2 linked regions of the Pelodiscus sinensis genome follow. The protein of the gene in region 2 binds, or shares a complex with, the protein of the main gene of each other region. Links are inferred from orthologs where the notes say so. Each region holds a gene or a part of one and is shown on either strand. Other genes may lie near its edges.

Evidence for each region.
Region 1: SMARCD2 (region 2) and DPF3 share a complex: the UniProt entries of both Homo sapiens proteins name them as parts of the BAF complex. The link is inferred for Pelodiscus sinensis from reciprocal best matches to the Homo sapiens genes SMARCD2 and DPF3.

Annotation. Positions count from the first base shown.
Region 1 is NC_134714.1:68,030,878-68,039,225, reverse strand, and holds the start of DPF3 (zinc finger protein DPF3), read right to left. Parts: upstream 3,383-8,348; 5' UTR 3,004-3,382; coding exon 2,972-3,003; intron 1-2,971. UniProt on the Homo sapiens protein: Belongs to the neuron-specific chromatin remodeling complex (nBAF complex).
Region 2 is NW_027466048.1:881,648-889,744, forward strand, and holds the start of SMARCD2 (SWI/SNF-related matrix-associated actin-dependent regulator of chromatin subfamily D member 2), read left to right. Parts: upstream 1-4,711; 5' UTR 4,712-4,788; coding exon 4,789-4,941; intron 4,942-8,097. UniProt on the Homo sapiens protein: Involved in transcriptional activation and repression of select genes by chromatin remodeling (alteration of DNA-nucleosome topology).

The sequences.
Region 1 (8,348 bases), on a different chromosome or scaffold from region 2:
AGAACTAGAATAGTATACACAGAGCAGCATATGTGTCTATGTAATTGAGCTAAAAGAATATTATACATACATAAATAAATAAAAATACATGGGGCAGTTCACAATACCTGAGCTAGTATTTCAATCTACAGTAGCTACATTGTCCCCCATCTCAGAGCAAAATCTTTGTGTGGCCAGTTTCTGTAGGGGGCGTCTGTCTTTTTTTTTTTTTTTTTTAAGAGACACAATCAAAACGCAGACAGAGGAAATGCAAATGTCATTCAGCTCCCTTTCATTGTCAGGAAGGACACATGAGGATAAAACACTGTGCAAAGCATCCTTTCCCCCCTATTACGTGTCTTAATGCTTTTGCTTCTAATTTATCCTTTGCATAATTTATTTACATGTGTATTGTTTCCTGATCAGCAACTTGTAACAATAAATGGAAATTATAGAATGTTTTATTAAACAAGTTGTTCAAAAAAAAAAAAAAAGACAGATGGTGTCAGACAGCCAGTGACAGTCCTGTTTCCCCTACCCAGCAGTGGTACTTAAAAAGGCGCACAGAGAAAAGCAAACCCTGCACTTGAGGTCTATTGTTTCCTCTCTTCTCACCCCAGGGGGAGGGGGAGGAAAAGGGGGCTAATTATAACAGACCTGCTCCTGCTCCCATTGACTTCAGTAGGAACAGGGCCGAGCTTCAAAAGAATGTAACTACCCGTCCAAACTAGGCAGGATTTAGTACGTAAGGGAGAAGTAAATCACAGGTGTGAGTGTGTCATGTTCCACAATTAGAGAACGTACAAAGCTAACACAAAACAGAACAGTGTCGTTCGGTAAGGGACAGCCCACGCTGAAATCTCCTCCCGCCCCCGTCACTCCATGTGGAGTGACTCCTCATTTGCACCCGTGTCAGCCAGCGCAGAACCAGGTTTCCCTTCGCGCTCCACGCACCCGCCCCGCGCCCCGCCACGTGAGACTCCTCGGCTGCTTTTTAGGAAGCTCGCCTCCCACAACAAATGAATGATTCTGCCGAAAGAAAACCAGCCCCGACCTCCATTGTTAGGAATCCTAGTGCCGTCGTCACATCCAGACACAGGGCATGTCGCTCCACACCAAACGGACCCCTAGGACAATGCATTCCCTCACCAACCGAAGTTGGTCCAGTTAAAGATACCCTCGCTCGCTGTGTTATATGTGTAGAGAGACAAAGTATACCGGAGAGTTACTTACGGTGCTTTCAGGAAGTTACTCTGGCAATGAACGGGACTGATCTAACTCAGATTTATTTTTTAATTGAAACATTAAACTGATTTAAGCTGCAGAATGCGGGGGGAGGCGCGTTAAGAAGTTGTTCTCACTGGGACAACTATAACATATGGAATCTGATTGGTGGCACATTGTATACTCCACACACATATTCACCGGGTTTTGTCTTTCTCCCCAAAAGACAGCTACTACTCCTATGCTAGCCCTGTTCTAAGGGCACTTCCCCCTTCTCGACCGATTTTTACCATTTGCTAAATGAAAGGCTATTTAATGGCAGACAAACGTTTGATGCCAAAATGGAGAAGGAGCGATGCAAATCTGACAGCTGTGCGTGTACCCCCTCCCGGCGTACAGCTCCCCTTCCTCCAGATTGCTGCACAGCACAGAGACAACCCCGCTGGAATCCCCGGGAAAAACCTCCAAGTGGTTTCCCAACTCCAATCGGAAAGTTTAATTGAAAAGACACAGCTCAGAGTCGGAATTACATCTCTACGACCTCAAACGGATAAAATACCCACGCAGTGTGACTGGGAAGTCCAAATGAAGTGTCTCCCCCAGGTACGCCGCTTTCTTGCATTGTGAGCGTCTTGTGTTATTAGCAAGCGCTGCCCCCTAGCACAGAAGTCATTTTTAAAAGGTTGAGACAGCCCCTTTTCTCCCCCACAGACGGTGCCAAATCCCCCTCTCCCTAATGCCTAGAGGGATTAACGGTGTGTGCTGCAGGCCACAAGGAAATGAGGGACCTGATCCAGAGAAAAATGCCTAGCTCCTGTGTGCCTCTCTTAAATCCGCCTTAATACAAGATCGGAGAACCCAGCATATTTCTAGAGCAGAGGCACCTGTCCCAATACTCTGCGCCTGTATCTCTCAGCAAACAGCTGGCCAGATTCGGCTTCTCATTTACATCCGGGCAGATTTCGGCGACCAGTGTGTCCAGCCCAAGATGGAAACACAATCAACTCTCGTTGCCACTTTCAAAAGAGAAAACCTCCCCTAGGCAACGAGCTCTCTAGACTTCCTGCCTAAAAAGCACCCAGCAGTGACCCCGAGTCATTCATTCCGCGCAAGTCCGGCTCTCCAGTCCTCGCACACAGACCGAAGTGTAATTGCAATGCCCCTGCTGCCCTGCTAGGAAACGAGCGGTGCAGCCCCTTCTGCTCCCGAGCCAGCAAACGCTGTGGCTGATTCTTTCCTCCTTTTCAACTCATCCCAACTCCTAGAAGCTTTGCAAAAGAAAACTCCGAACTGCTGTCGGAGCGCTGCAACACAGACAGTTCTGCTCCCGGCTTCCAGGACCGATCCCTCTCCCGTGGACACGGAGTTGGTGGCGGGGGGAGACAGCCCGGACAACAGGCTCAGGACTCTGTCAAGTGCAAGCCCCTCCTCAGGGGTCCTGCAGGACCTAGCCGTTTCCGAGATCCCCGCAGCCCCGAGAGCTGCCAGAAGCCCCGCTGCCATCCTCCCCTTCAGAGCTCCACTCTCCCTCCCTCTCGGCCAGCCAATTAATCACAATCCAAATGTAACAATTTCTTTTTGTTAATTTCAGTGCAAGACGCCCGTGTGTGTTGCACAAAAAGAGAGGAGCTCAGAAAGGCAAGAGGGAGGGAGGAGAGATCAGCTGGGAGGCTGGAGGCACCGGGCTCAGGCTGGCAGCAGCATCGGAAAGGCGCCTTTTTTCATATTTAAACCACGCGGAATATGTACATTTTTGATTCCTACTTACGCTTTCAGGGGGTTGTGAATGACAGTCGCCATTTTGCTACAATGTAACAGAATATTGTGTCTCAGAGTTCTAAAGGTTCGCTTAGGGGAAGCGGCCAGCCAATCAGAAGACGGGATACCGGCCTGCCGCCCAATCCGGCGCTGGGGGCGGAGCCAGGGCTGTGCTAGTTATTAGGGGAGCTGTCAAAGCCCAGAGGTCACTCCCTTTCTGTGGAACTGGAAGAGAGCAGGTCTTAAAGGGGCAGTTACACTAGGGACTGTCACTACACCGAACTAGAGTGAGGGGGGCTAGGATGTGGAACAGAAGACTCTTTGGAGTTATCTGACTCTTTAATGTCAAGAAATCTAGAGAAAGGAATGAGGGTGAATACCTTGTCTTTGTGGATTGCTGTGCCTGCCTTTCATTTCCCAAATGGCATGTCCCCTTATTCATGTGCAAGGGTTGGATGCATGCCATTTCATCAGGAAAATAAACTACAGGTGTACTGACATTTGGTGCAGTAGATTCTTGAGCTTTATTATTCCCAATGTGTTTTCCTTTACCTGAAGCCACTTTCCCCTTTAGGCTTCTTGGAACTCCTAGTGCTTACAGTGACTCCAGGGCAGCACCCTCTCCCCCTCCCCTAGGAATTTCTCAATGTCAGTCATCCAGCTTCTGCAGCCAGTGCACTGGTTACATAATGCACAGTGGCCAAACTGCCTGCCTGCCTGTTCTCTGTTTTTCCCACAAAGCAACTTCTGAAGTGATTGTCCTGTCTAACATGTTGAGACCTGGGCCTCTGATCTTTCAACATGGAGAGAGGGAGGGGGGAGGATTTTAATCTACATTTCATATGACACTTACTTTCATGGTAGCAGAGTGACTTGGAGTCAAGAATCCTGGAACAGATACAGCTGTTAAATGCCCATTTCTGGGAGAGGCACTAACTCCAGGAAGTCAGAGTTTATCTTCGACTAATTAAAAAAGAGTATGCAAATGAATTAGCCTGCATGAGCTAAGACACTCAAGAAGTGGCTAATTCTGCTCTCATACCACTGTAAATCAGAAGGAACCTCACCACAATCAGTGAAGTTACACCAGTGTTGATCTAGCAGAAGGTAGATCACACTCAGATTTAAGCAGTTTCTTCTTGTCAGACATCAATGTAGGTTTTGCCTTACAACATTTCTGTACCTCTCAAAGGTCCCCCTTCTGTTTTCTTGCAGCTCCCGCCAAGGGGGCCTGAGGGTGTTAAGATGAGGGCAGGGGTGGCATGATTTGGCAATGGGTAGGAAGCCTATAGCTTGACCTACTAAGGCAAGATTAGGCACTCAATGTAGCCGAGAACTGTTTCCCCTTTGCACTGGCAGTCTCATTCCACTTTGCCCACATTAAATGAACAAGGCATCCCGAACTTTCTGTAATGCTTTTGAGGCACAATGTCCCTATATTATAGACAGGGAAACTGAGACACGGACTATTCAATAAATTGCCAGAAGTCATACAGAAAGTCATCAGCAGAGCTGGGTACAGATAAAAGCAAATTGCAATAGTCCTACCTTCTCTCCTCCAGCTCACAATACACAGTATCTCCTACATTTCAAGGCTGCAATAAAAGACACAGTTCAGCTCTTAGTGCCAGACATGCTTATGGCATAGACTCTTGGGCAGTGACCCATTCATTAAGCATATTCAGCAAGAGGGCTTAACATCCAGGATCTGTTCTCAACTCTGACCATTTCAATTGTTTGGTACCTTTCCCTTTTCTGTTTTAATAACTAGAATGAAGAATCCCTTCAACAGAGGCTCCAAGTTGGTATGGAAACACTCCACCCCCAGAGTTTGAAAGTGACACCAGCAATACATGAAGGAGCAAGATCCAGTCTTTCTCCAGGAACACCCTCAGAGAGGCCTTTTAGGTGCCACCAGCTTTGACCCTGGCTGGGACCACCAGAGCAGCCTGCCTGCCACCCTCTACATGCCTCCGGCTCTGGCCCCATCCGGGGCCGATGGAAAGCTTCTGCCCTCCACATGGCCACAGCCCCAACCCCTAGCAGCAGGAACCCACCCACCTGCAGTCCCAACTCCCAGCAGGAGCAACCTTCCTGCTACGTGGTCCCCAGTGGTAGCCAGCCCCCAATGCAGCCCTGCCCTCCAGAGCATCTGCCCCCCAATGCGACTCCGGGCGCAGGCCTGTCCCCTCCCCACCTGCCACACCGCCCCATGCCAGCCACCTTCCACGTGCAATAGAAAGGTGAGTGTTGCAGCACAGCTCTGCAAAGGAGGTGGGCAGGCTTACAATTTTTTGTGCGCAGCCATTCACCTTAGAGGGAACACTGATCATGGTCCATTGCTTTCACTCATTCAGAACTTGGTAAGTTGGAAGTATGAATGTTTTGTGATATGTCTGGGTTTCAAAGGAGGTTTGAGACAGCAGCACTTCTGGAACAGAGGGCTGAATTAAGAATGGGGTCAAAGAGTCCAAAGCCCATTATAATAATGTTTAATATAATATTGGCCCAGAAGGCAATGGATATGACTTAGGAACCTCATGTCTGCCACTTCCCTCTTGGCCATAGAGAAAGTCAGCTGCTAACTGCAAATTGTTGGTAAATGCATATGTGACATAGTCCTTCAGAGAAATTAACAGGATAGTATGTTCAGGTACCTATGGCTTATGCTAGATAGCATCAGAATTGCTTAACTCTGTCATTGTCAGCAAGATAAAACCTTTCTCCTTTAGCTCAAAGTATAGGAGAAAATTGGTTCTATCTCCATTGTCACAGATTCTTACTGGCCATGAACTGTCACATAGAAAAGTCATAATCATCCCTAGGGGGCCATAGATTTGTTTATATAACATTTATATTTACATACTGATGGGTACCACATGCATGAAGGTGATAAACATCTGAGAAACTGCAGCATAATGATACATTTTATAACCATGGGATAAATTGCAAAACTATGTGAGTAAAGAACTTAGTGTCCCTTTCACTGCCTTGGTTGTACTGTGCTTCCTAGTCCACCTCTATGGAATTTATTGTAACATTCTCAGCCCCTGAGCAACTTCAGACAGCTCTTATTTGAATTAAAATGTCTCTCAACCTTTCCACCTTACTGTACCCTTTTCAGGAGTCTGATTTGTCTTGCATATCCCCAAGTTTCACCTCAGTTAAAAACTATTTGCTTATAAAATCATACATAAAAATACAAAAAAGTCTTACAGCAATCTTTGACTGAAAAATTGCTGACTTTCTCTTTTTACCATATAATTATAAAATAAATCAATTGGGATATAAATATTGTACTTAAATTTGAGTGTATAGAGCACTATAAACAAGTCATTGTTGGTATGAAATTTTAGTTTGTATTGAGTTTGTTAGTACTTTTTACATAGCCTGTTGTAAAACTAGGCAAATATATAGCTGAATGAATGTATCCCCTGAAAGACCTTTGTCTGCGTACCCCTGAAAATCAATGAGGTATGCATAGCCCTGGCTGAAAAACAACAAGTTAAACAAAGCTACTCCAGAAATGTTTTGTCTTTCTCTTCCCAAAGGCTATGTCTAGACTGCAAGCCTCTTTCGAAAGAGGCTTTTTCGAAAGTATTTCGTGTTACAATACGCGGATCGGAAAATCGATCCGCTTTTTCGAAAAAGAGCGTCCTGACTGCTGGACGCTCTTTCGAAATTAAAAGCCACCTGGAACCGCTTCTGCTAGGGCATGGGGGCAGCATTTCCTTCCGGGTGCTGCTGCCTGCCCTTTGCAGAGACGCGTGGTTAAAGGGACGCCCCTGAACACCCGTTGCTCTGCTTCTGCAGCTGCCTTTGCTGTCCCTCTAGGAGGTAAGCAAAGCATTGCAGTGCTGATTTGGAGTGCTCAGCTTCCTGGGACACCCCAGCAGGTTTTTTGTTTGGAGGTTTTTCTGTTTTAGACCCGTTTTTTCGGCATAGAGCCAGAGCTGCCCCTGGGCAGGCGATGGCCCCACGCCATCATACTACAAGTGTTGCTGCATCTGCATGACACAGTCATGAGGCTACTTCCCCATCTGGACCCAGACCAGAGGTACGAAGGGATCGTCCGTCATGTAGCCCCACTGCCCTTGCCTCCAAACTTCTTTGTGGACAGGCATTTTTGGAGGCTTGACACCAGCTCTGACTGGTGGGACCGGCTCGTTATACAGCTCTGGGATGACCAAGAGTGGCTACGCAACTTCCGGATGAGAAAGACCACTTTCCAAGAGCTGTGTACCTGGCTCGCCCCTGCTATGCAACGGCAAGACACCCACCTGCGGCCCGCTATCCCCGTGGAAAAGAGGGTCGCCATTGCCCTCTGGAAGCTGGCAACCCCCGACAGCTACCGCTCCGTGGGACACCAATTTGGAGTGGGCAGGTCTACTGTTGGATCCATCCTGATGGAGGTAAGTCATTGTCTGGGGACAGTCACAGTTTGGGGTGGGGGGAAGGGAGACTGTCAGGAAGGGCAAAGTGGAGTGTGAGGGAGCTCCTCCACTCACCCTGAATTGTTGGGGGGGGGGAGTTCTGAGGAGGGGATTCCCGGGGTGTTTGAGAGGGAAGGTGGGTGGTGGGTTCTCCTCCTAAGAGATAAGGCACCCCTTCTAACATTTTGTTGTCTGTCTCTTTCTGCAGGTGGTGAGGGCCATCAATTCGGAGCTGCTGAACAGGCTCGTCTGTCTACCAGATCTGGACAGCGTCATGGCTGGCTTTGCTGCCCTTGGCTTCCCGAATTGTGGAGGAGCGCTCGATGGGACACACATTCCAATCCGTGCACCACCCCATCGAGCAGCCCAATTCATTAACAGAAAGGGCTACTTTTCTATGGTCCTCCAGGCCCTGGTCGACCATCGTGGCCAGTTTTCTGACATTTGTGTTGGGTGGTCAGGGCAGGCACATGATGCCCACATCTTCAGGAACTCGTACCTCTACCGGAGGCTTCAGGCAGGAACATTTTTCCCGCATCACAACTTTGCGGTTGGGGATGTGCACATGCCGGTGTGCATAGTGGCTGATGCCGCCTACCCCCTGATGCCGTGGCTGATGAAGCCCTACACCGGCCACCTGGATGCGAGCAAGGAGCAGTTTAATGCTCACCTTAACCGGGCTCGCAACCAGGTGGAATGTGCGTTCGGACGTTTAAAAGGCAGATTCCGGTGCTTGCTCACACACCTAGACATGGAGGAGAGCAACATCCCTGAGGTGGTGGCCGCGTGTTGCGTTCTCCATAACCTGGTGGAGAGGAAAGGGGAGGCCTTCCTACCAGGGTGGGGTACAGGTGCTGATGGTCAGGAGAGGCACTTTGCCCAGCCCCGGACAGCTGCCATCTGCCAGGCTCACTGGTCTGCTGTTTGTATACGGGAGGCCCTACGGGAGCAATT
Region 2 (8,097 bases):
GAGTGCTCCTTCAGCATCTCGATCATCCAGTAGCCTCGCTGATTGTTTAGCAGGCTGACATACTTCAAATAATTGCTATTAGTGTTTGTGGTTTTGGCTAGCTGTTCTTTAAATTTATTTGGCCTTCCGGATTATATTTTTACACTTCATTTAAGAGAGTTTAGGCGCCTTCCAATTTTCTTCACTACAATTTCACTTTCACTTTTTATCTCTCACTGTTTCTTTTACTTGATTGTTAAGCGTGGCACTTTTTTGTTCTGGTTTTTTTTTTTTTTTTTTTTTTTTTTGGTTAATTTGGAGTTTACATTTAAGTTGAGCTTCTATTATGAACTTTGAAAAGTTTCCATGCATCTTACATGGATTTCACTTATGGCACTGTAGCTTTTAATTTCTGTTTAACTAACCTCATTTTTGTGTAATTCCTTTTTCTGAAATTAAATGCCACAGTATTTGGGCTGTTACGATGTTTTTCCTGACACAGGAAAGTTTTTTTTAATATATATATTCTAGTCGCTATTTCAAAGAAATCCAGCTATTTTCACCTCCTGGACCAGATCTTGTGCTCCACTTAGGACAAAATCAAGTATTGCTTCTCCTCTTGTAGGTTTCAAAACCAGCCGCTCCAAGTAGCAGTCATTTAAGTTGTCAAGAAACTTTATCCCTTTATTGCATCCTGAGGTGAGGTGTACCTAGTCAATATGGGGATAATTGAAATCCCTCATTATTATTGAGGTTTTTTATTTTTATAGCCTCTCAGATCTCCCTTAGCATTTCATAGTCAATACCACCATCCTGGTCAGGTGGCAAGGTAATATATCCCTACTGCTATGCTCACAGTATTAGAGTGTGGAATTACTTTCCATAGAAAATGAGTTTGGTTCATTTACGATTTTTACTTCATTTGATTCTATGCATTCTTTCACATACAGTGCCACTCCTCTACCAGCACAATCTGTTCTGTTGTTCTGATATATTTTGTTCCCTGGCAGTACTGTATCCCATTGATTATTCTCATTCCACAAGTTTCTGTGATGCCTAATATATCAATATCTTCCTTTAATGTGAGGGACTCCAGTTCACCCATCTTATTATTTAGACTTCCAGTGTTTGTACAGAAGCATTTTTAAAATGTCACTATGTAGCTGTCCACCATTACATGATGTAATTGAATGGGACTCTTTTCAGTTGACCGTTTCTAATCAGATCTTACCCATATTTTATCATCTTCCATCCTCTCCTCTTTCTTAGGACATAGAGAATCTCTATTAACAGACCTTCCCTTAAAGGGATGTCTCTGTCGGATCCATGTGATCCTATGCACCTGTAGGCTTTCCCCCAACCCTTCATGTCAAGAAGGAAGCAAACTATCAAACAAAAACACTGTGCAACCCCTCCTCTTACAAATTCCCACCCAGATTTCTCTGTTTTCTGTGCTATTTGCTGGCTCCTGAGCTGCTACTGCACCCAGGAAGCAGTGCACTTGGCAAAGGACTTCTGGTCAGCAGCAATTGCAAACACAGCGCACTCACTGGCTGTGTCTAGACTGGCAAGTTGTCTAGACTGGCCGCTTGATTTTGCGCAAAAGCACTGACGTTCTGCTGTCCGAAATCAGTGCTTCTTGCGCAAATGCTTTGATGTTCCCGTTCGGGCAAACGCCATTTTCCGGAAATGCTTTTGCACAAAACGGCCAGTGTAGACAGCTGAAAACTGTTTTGCGCAAAAAAGCCCCGATGGCGAAAATGGCGATTGGGGCTTTCTTGCGCAAAACCACGTCTAGATTGGCACGGACGCTTTTCCACAAAAAGTGCTTTTGCAGAAAAGCGTTCGTGCCATCTAGACTCTCTTTTCCGCAAATGCTTTTAACGGAAAAACTTTTCCGTTAAAAGCATTTGCGGAAAATCTTGCCAGTCTAGACGTAGCCGCTGTGTATGCAGCTCAGCACTCAGAATAAAAGCAAGGGTTCAGTGACAAGCCGCTGTACTTGAACAAGGTGAGTTGCTTCCATTTCTTGGGAGTTGATTGGCTACCTTTGGAGTGGAGAGGAACAGGACACTCTCTCATGGGATTGAGAGAAATCACTGAGGGTATGTCTACACTACCCCGCTAGTTCGAACTAGCGGGGTAATGTATGCATACCACACTTGCTAATGAAGCCCGGGATTTGAATTTCCCGGGCTTCATTAGCATAAGCGGGGAGCCGCCATTTTTAAATCCCCGCTGCTTCGAACCCCGTGTAGCGCGGCTACACGGGGCTCGAACTAGGTAGTTCGGACTAGGGTGCCTATTCCGAACTACCGGTACACCTCGTTTCACGAGGAGTAACGGTAGTTCGGAATAGGACCCTAGTCCGAACTACCTAGTTCGAGCCCCGTGTAGCCGCGCTACACGGGGTTCGAAGCAGCGGGGATTTAAAAATGGCGGCTCCCCGCTTATGCTAATGAAGCCCGGGAAATTCAAATCCCGGGCTTCATTAGCAAGTGCGGTATGCATACATTACCCCGCTAGTTCGAACTAGCGGGGTAGTGTAGACATACCCTGATGGACTCTCAGGGTATGTCTACACTACCCTGCTAGTTCGAACTAGCGGGGTAATGTATGCATACCGAACTTGCTAATGAAGCCCGGGATTTGAATTTCCCGGGCTTCATTAGCATAAAGCTGGCTCCGCCATTTTTAAAAGCCGGCTAGTGCAAACCCCGTGCCGCGCGGTGTACAGATAGTTCGGAATAACTACGTAGTTCGAACTATCTAGCCCGTGCCGCGTGTAGCCGTGCGGCACGGGGTTCGCACTAGCCGGCTTTTAAAAATGGCAGAGCCAGCTTTATGCTAATGAAGCCCGGGAAATTCAAATCCCGGGCTTCATTAGCAAGTTCGGTATGCATACATTACCCCGCTAGTTCGAACTAGCGGGGTAGTGTAGACATACCCCCTGGGAATCCAAGCTGTGTCTATGCTGCAAAATGATGACATTTGGGCCTGAATCCTAGTGGGACCTGGGCTTGAATGCTTCACCTCTGCAGAGTCTTAGGGTACAGCTACACTGCACAGATGATTGAAGCTGCTGTTGTTGATCTTCCAGAGCTAATTAAGACAGATAATTCAAACTGTGAGGGACGCTCCAATTGATACTGGTAATCCTGCTTTCAAGAGGAAAAGGGAAGTGGAAGGAATAGTGTTCTTCCTTTGACTGCCTGCAGCGTAGACAGCTCCAAAAGTTGAGTTAAGCTACTTGGACTTCAGCTATGCAATTAACATATCTGAAGTTGGGTATCTTACTTTGACTTTGTCCCGTAGTGTAGATGTACCCTTTGGGTCCAGGCTAAGTCTGACAGAATTGTGTGTAGACAGAAGGGAGGATGTTGGATTCAAGCCTGAGCTTCTACTGTAGTGTAAACATTTCCTAACTAGCGTAACTAGAGAAAAGTTAAGAATGCCCAAGAGCTGTTTGGGACACAGGAATGTGAATGTTGAACCACTTAACTGGTAAAGTGGGATGTAATAGTGTAGTCGATTAACCGCTATAGACTACACGCATTTCCTACCACTTGCCAGTACATTTTTTAGCAGGCTGGCCTGCAGCCCAGCTCATTCCTGGTTTATGCCGGATTAGGGACCCACCCCCACTGCGGCTCTGCTTTTCAAGTGTATTAGGAGCCAGGCCGCCCGGCTCAGTTCCAGGAGCTGAGCCCCCCCAGTCCCTCAGACAGCCGGTCCATGAGGGGAGCTGGTTCAGGACAGACCAGCTCCCGCCTGGCGCCTGCGAGCAGCGTCCCGTGACGGGGGTTCACCCCTGGCTCCGAGCAGGGGCGGGTTCGATCCAACATGCCAAGTCCTGCTCCCCTGGGGTGTCCGGCTCCCGGGATGCAGAAGCACGAGGAGCCCCAAACCCTCTGGGTGCCCGAGGGGGGCGGGGGAGGGGAGCGAGGTTAATGAATGAACGGGGGGGGGCAGCCCCCCCCATCACTCCCGCCTCCTCCCGCGCCCAGCAGGGAGCAGGAGAGTTAAAGCAGCCAGCTTCTCTGCGCGGGGAGGGGGGGGGGGCGCGACGCTCCCGTCGCTCTAATTCGCGGCACATCTGTCAATCTCCCCGCGAGCCCGCCCCCGGGTCCCGGCCTGAGCCCCCCTCAGGGGGCCACGTGGGGGCGGGTTTGAGGCGCAGAAGCGGGCAGGGCCAAGGGGGCGGGGCCCAGGAGGCGGGCTCGTGGGGGCGGAGTTCGGGCCGAAGCGGAAGGCTCAGGGGACGGGCCCCGTGAGGGGGCGGGGCCAAGGCCTTAGTGTGAGCGCGTGGGGTTCACGGGGCGGGGCCAGTGCCCAGAGGGCGGGGCTCGGCGAAGGGCGGGGCTGGGGCCTAGGCGCGCGGCTCAGGGAGCGGGGTCAGAGCTGGGGGCGGGGCTCCTTGAAGAGAGGAGGGGGCTCGGGCCGAGGCGCACGGCTCAGGGGGCGGGGCCGGAGCTGGGGGCGGGGCTCGTTGCGACGAGGCGCACGGCTCAGGGGGCGGGGCCGGAGCTGGGGGCGGGGCTCGTTGCGGAGAGGCGCGCGGCTCAGGGGGCGGGGCCAGTGCCCACAGGGCGGGGCTCGGTCAAGGGCGAGGCGCACGGCTCAGGGGGCGGGGCCGGGGCCGGGGCCGGGGCCGGAGCTGGGGGCGGGGCTCGTTGCGGAGAGGCGCGCGGCTCAGGGGGCGGGGCTCGTTGCGGAGGGGCGCGCGGCTCAGGGGGCGGGGCCGGCCGGGCCGCGCGGGACTCGCCCAGGGCGCCGCCGCGGGTTGCTGGTAAACAGGCGCGCGAGCCGATGTCCGGGCGCGGCGCGTTCCCGCTCAGCCCCCTGCCGCCCGCCGCCGCGCCCCCCCCCGCCGCGGGGCCCGGCCTCATGCGGGGCCCAGGCCCGGCCGCCGCGGGGCCCGCCGGATACCGGGCCATGGGGCCCGCCGCCGCGGCGTACCAGGTGCGGGCCGTGGGGGGGCTGAGGGAGGGGAGGGGAAGGAGGTTTCTGGGGGGGCTGAGGGCACTGGGGGGTGGGGGAGGGGAGGAGGATGCTGGGGGGCTGGGGGTGGGGGAGGGGAGGTTTCGGGGGGCTCAGGGCACTGGGGGGTGGGGGAGGGGAGGGGAAGGAGGTTTCTGGGGGGGCTGAGGGCACTGGGGGGAGGGGAGGGGAGGAGGATGCTGGGGGTGTGGGGGGGAGGTTTCGGGGGGCTCAGGGCACTGGGGGGTGGGGGAGGGGAGGAGGATATTTAGAGGGGCTGAGGTCATGGGGGTGGGGGGGAGGTTACTTAGGGTTGCCGGGGGCTCAGCACCGAGGGACCATTTGTGATGTGGGGAGGGTGGGGGGGGACCCAGGGAAAGTGTCCAGTGGTGTTGGATGAGGGAAGTGGGGGGACCTGCTGTGGGCAAGTCTCCCAGAACAGTCCCTGGCCAGATACCATCTCCCGGCCTGTCCAGTGTACACCGCAGCCCTCCCTTGGGGATTGAAGCCCCCCCAAGGGAGGAAATTATTGCCAGTCCCATGCCCTGGGGGAGGGGGCTCTCTAGCTGGAGTGCTGCTGCTGCTCCCGGATGGGGCAGTGTGTCCCAGCTCTGGGGCAGCCTCTCTGGTAACTAGGGATGTTAAAATACTGTATGTTTATTCTGGTAAATGTGTAATCACTGAATATTTCAGTAGTTACATGGAGTGCTGGCTCCCCTTGAACACCGGATCCCACCTCCCCCCACTTCTCCCCGCAGCAGCACAGACAGGGCAGGGCCTGTGTGTAACCATGCACATAAACCCATGAGCCCAGGCTCATCAGTTAGCCATGTACACACATGCTCATCCCTGCTGGTAACTAGGTCTCTCACTGTTAGAACCGCAGTCCTTAAACCACGGAGGCACCAGGTATTCAATCTGACACTCAGCTTCACAAAGTGGCCATCTGCCTCTGGTTCCAGGTGTGCTCACAATGTGTGGCCCTACCCAGAGCACTAAGTTACACGGGGTCATGGCAGCATAGTTTGCATTTAAAAACAAATGCCATGCTCCTCATGCCAGGCACAGATGGATAAACGGAGTCATGGACGCAGCATTTGGTTCTCACAGCTGCCAGGGTCTAGTTAAAATAATGTGCAGCAGTAACCTAGGCTCAAGTAGACAGTGGTTATGCTGTTCTGCTTCTCCATTCTAGCTCGTTCCCCATAATGCAATTTAGAAAAAGTAGGGAAAGAGGCCTAATATGTCAACTGAAGAAGAGTCTGGAAAATTGTTCCCTAAGATTTGCCAGTTAGGTGGATTTACCAGAGGGCTGGATGTTGTCATTCCATTTACTAGTTTAAAAAAATGGTAGTACCAGTACAGCTTGTGGCACCATATTCTCCGAAGCAGTAGGGAACTTAGGAGAGAGATGAGACAGGGACTCATGGGAACAAGCTCATGCTTAATTTCCTTTTTCTGAATTTGGCTGAGATCCTTTTCAGATTGCTCCTGGTAGGAGCTGTCACTGGGTAGGTGGAGGGGGTTGAGAGACTGTTTTGGAGAAGATGAAATGGAGATGGTGGATTCTACTTGAAAAGTGACTGGATTAGATTGACTAGAAGCTTGGTGGTTTTTATGGTGCCTAAAATAGCAGTGTGTGTGTTTGGGGGGAGGGTTTCCTGCAAGAGAGTCATTAGAAAACAACAGGACAAGAGACAGATTCCTAATCAATTCTTTTCTTTGCACTTTTGGGGCCCCAATTGGTTCCCTGTACAAGAGTCTGGTAACTTCTAGGTTCTGTCTGCATTGCAGCTGGGAGCATGCTTAAGCTAGTGTACAGAAACTAGCTGTGGCCTAGGTGGTGATACAGGCTAGCCACTCAGATACAGACCCAGGGAGCTGGCCAAGCTTTTGCTCAAGGGGCTAGCCTATGGTGTAGCGTCCACACAGGTACTTCTGGTGTGCGAAGCTAGCACATGTCTGTGTACCCAGGCTGGGAGGCACACTTCCAGCTGCAGTGCAGACGTGCTTGCAGGCTGTTCGGTGTCTGTTGGCAGAGGGGTGGGATGGAGAACTAGGGTTGCTTTTCCTGAGGCGGGTGGGTGGGTGGGGGTGTGTGAGAGAGAGAGATACTGTAGTATTAGCTGTAGTACTCAATAGGAATGCTCTTGAATCCAGCCAACACTTATTTTTGTTTCTCCTACAAACTAATTGCATCAAACAGCTGTCTGCTTTCCCAGGTTCTAAGAGGGGGAGACACTGCGGGCTTGATTTGGCTATTCAGCAGCCCATTGGTGCTTCCTCTTCTAAGGTGGTGAGTTATGGACACACAATAGGTCATCACATAGCCCCTCTGCACCCTGTGGTGGGTGTTACAATCTGCTTTAGAAAAGGCTGGCCTGAGTTGCTTGGCTAAGGTTGGATGGCAGGCTGTCCTTGCCCAGTTTCCAAAAAATGCTATGGAAACTAACACATAACACCCTTGGTTCCGGGATTAACATCTCCTGAAGATGGTAACTGTTTGCAGTGCAGGATGATATTACAGGCTCTGTATTGTTAACTGAGAAATGTATTCTGTTCAAATCTTGTAGCATGTGATCAGGATGTTAAAGAAACTTTGTCTAGCTGCTGTTGCAGGCTTATCCCCTATTCAGCCTCTGTTTACGCCTTCTTTTTCCTGGTTCTGCATGGCTTTTAGCCACTTAAAGTCCATTAAAACGTTAGCAGATGACGCTGACTCACTTGTGGAGTTACTGTGCAAACACTCTGTCAGCATAGGATGGTGGCCTAGTTCTTCTGTAAACAGCCAGCAGGAACTGCTGCAGATGACTCCATATCAGGGGCAGCTCTAAGATTCACTTAGGATTCATGGGACAGTCATTCTGTTTGTGTGAAAACCAAGACAGCTAAGTGTGAACCACGTCGGGCAAAGATGGTGTTTTCTGCTGAAGCTTCTCTGTATTCCATTTCCCCTTTTGCAGAGTTGTGTCTCATTCATGCGTCTGTTTTGCAGGTAGAACAGTTATGTCCAGATTTTAGATTTTACTGCAAAAGTTTATCTAAAGGAAGTTAGATAAATAGTGGAAAATAATGAAGAGGGTGAGAAGGTTCCTGCTTAGTACCTGAAGCAGGGAATGGACACTGGGGACTCTGGAG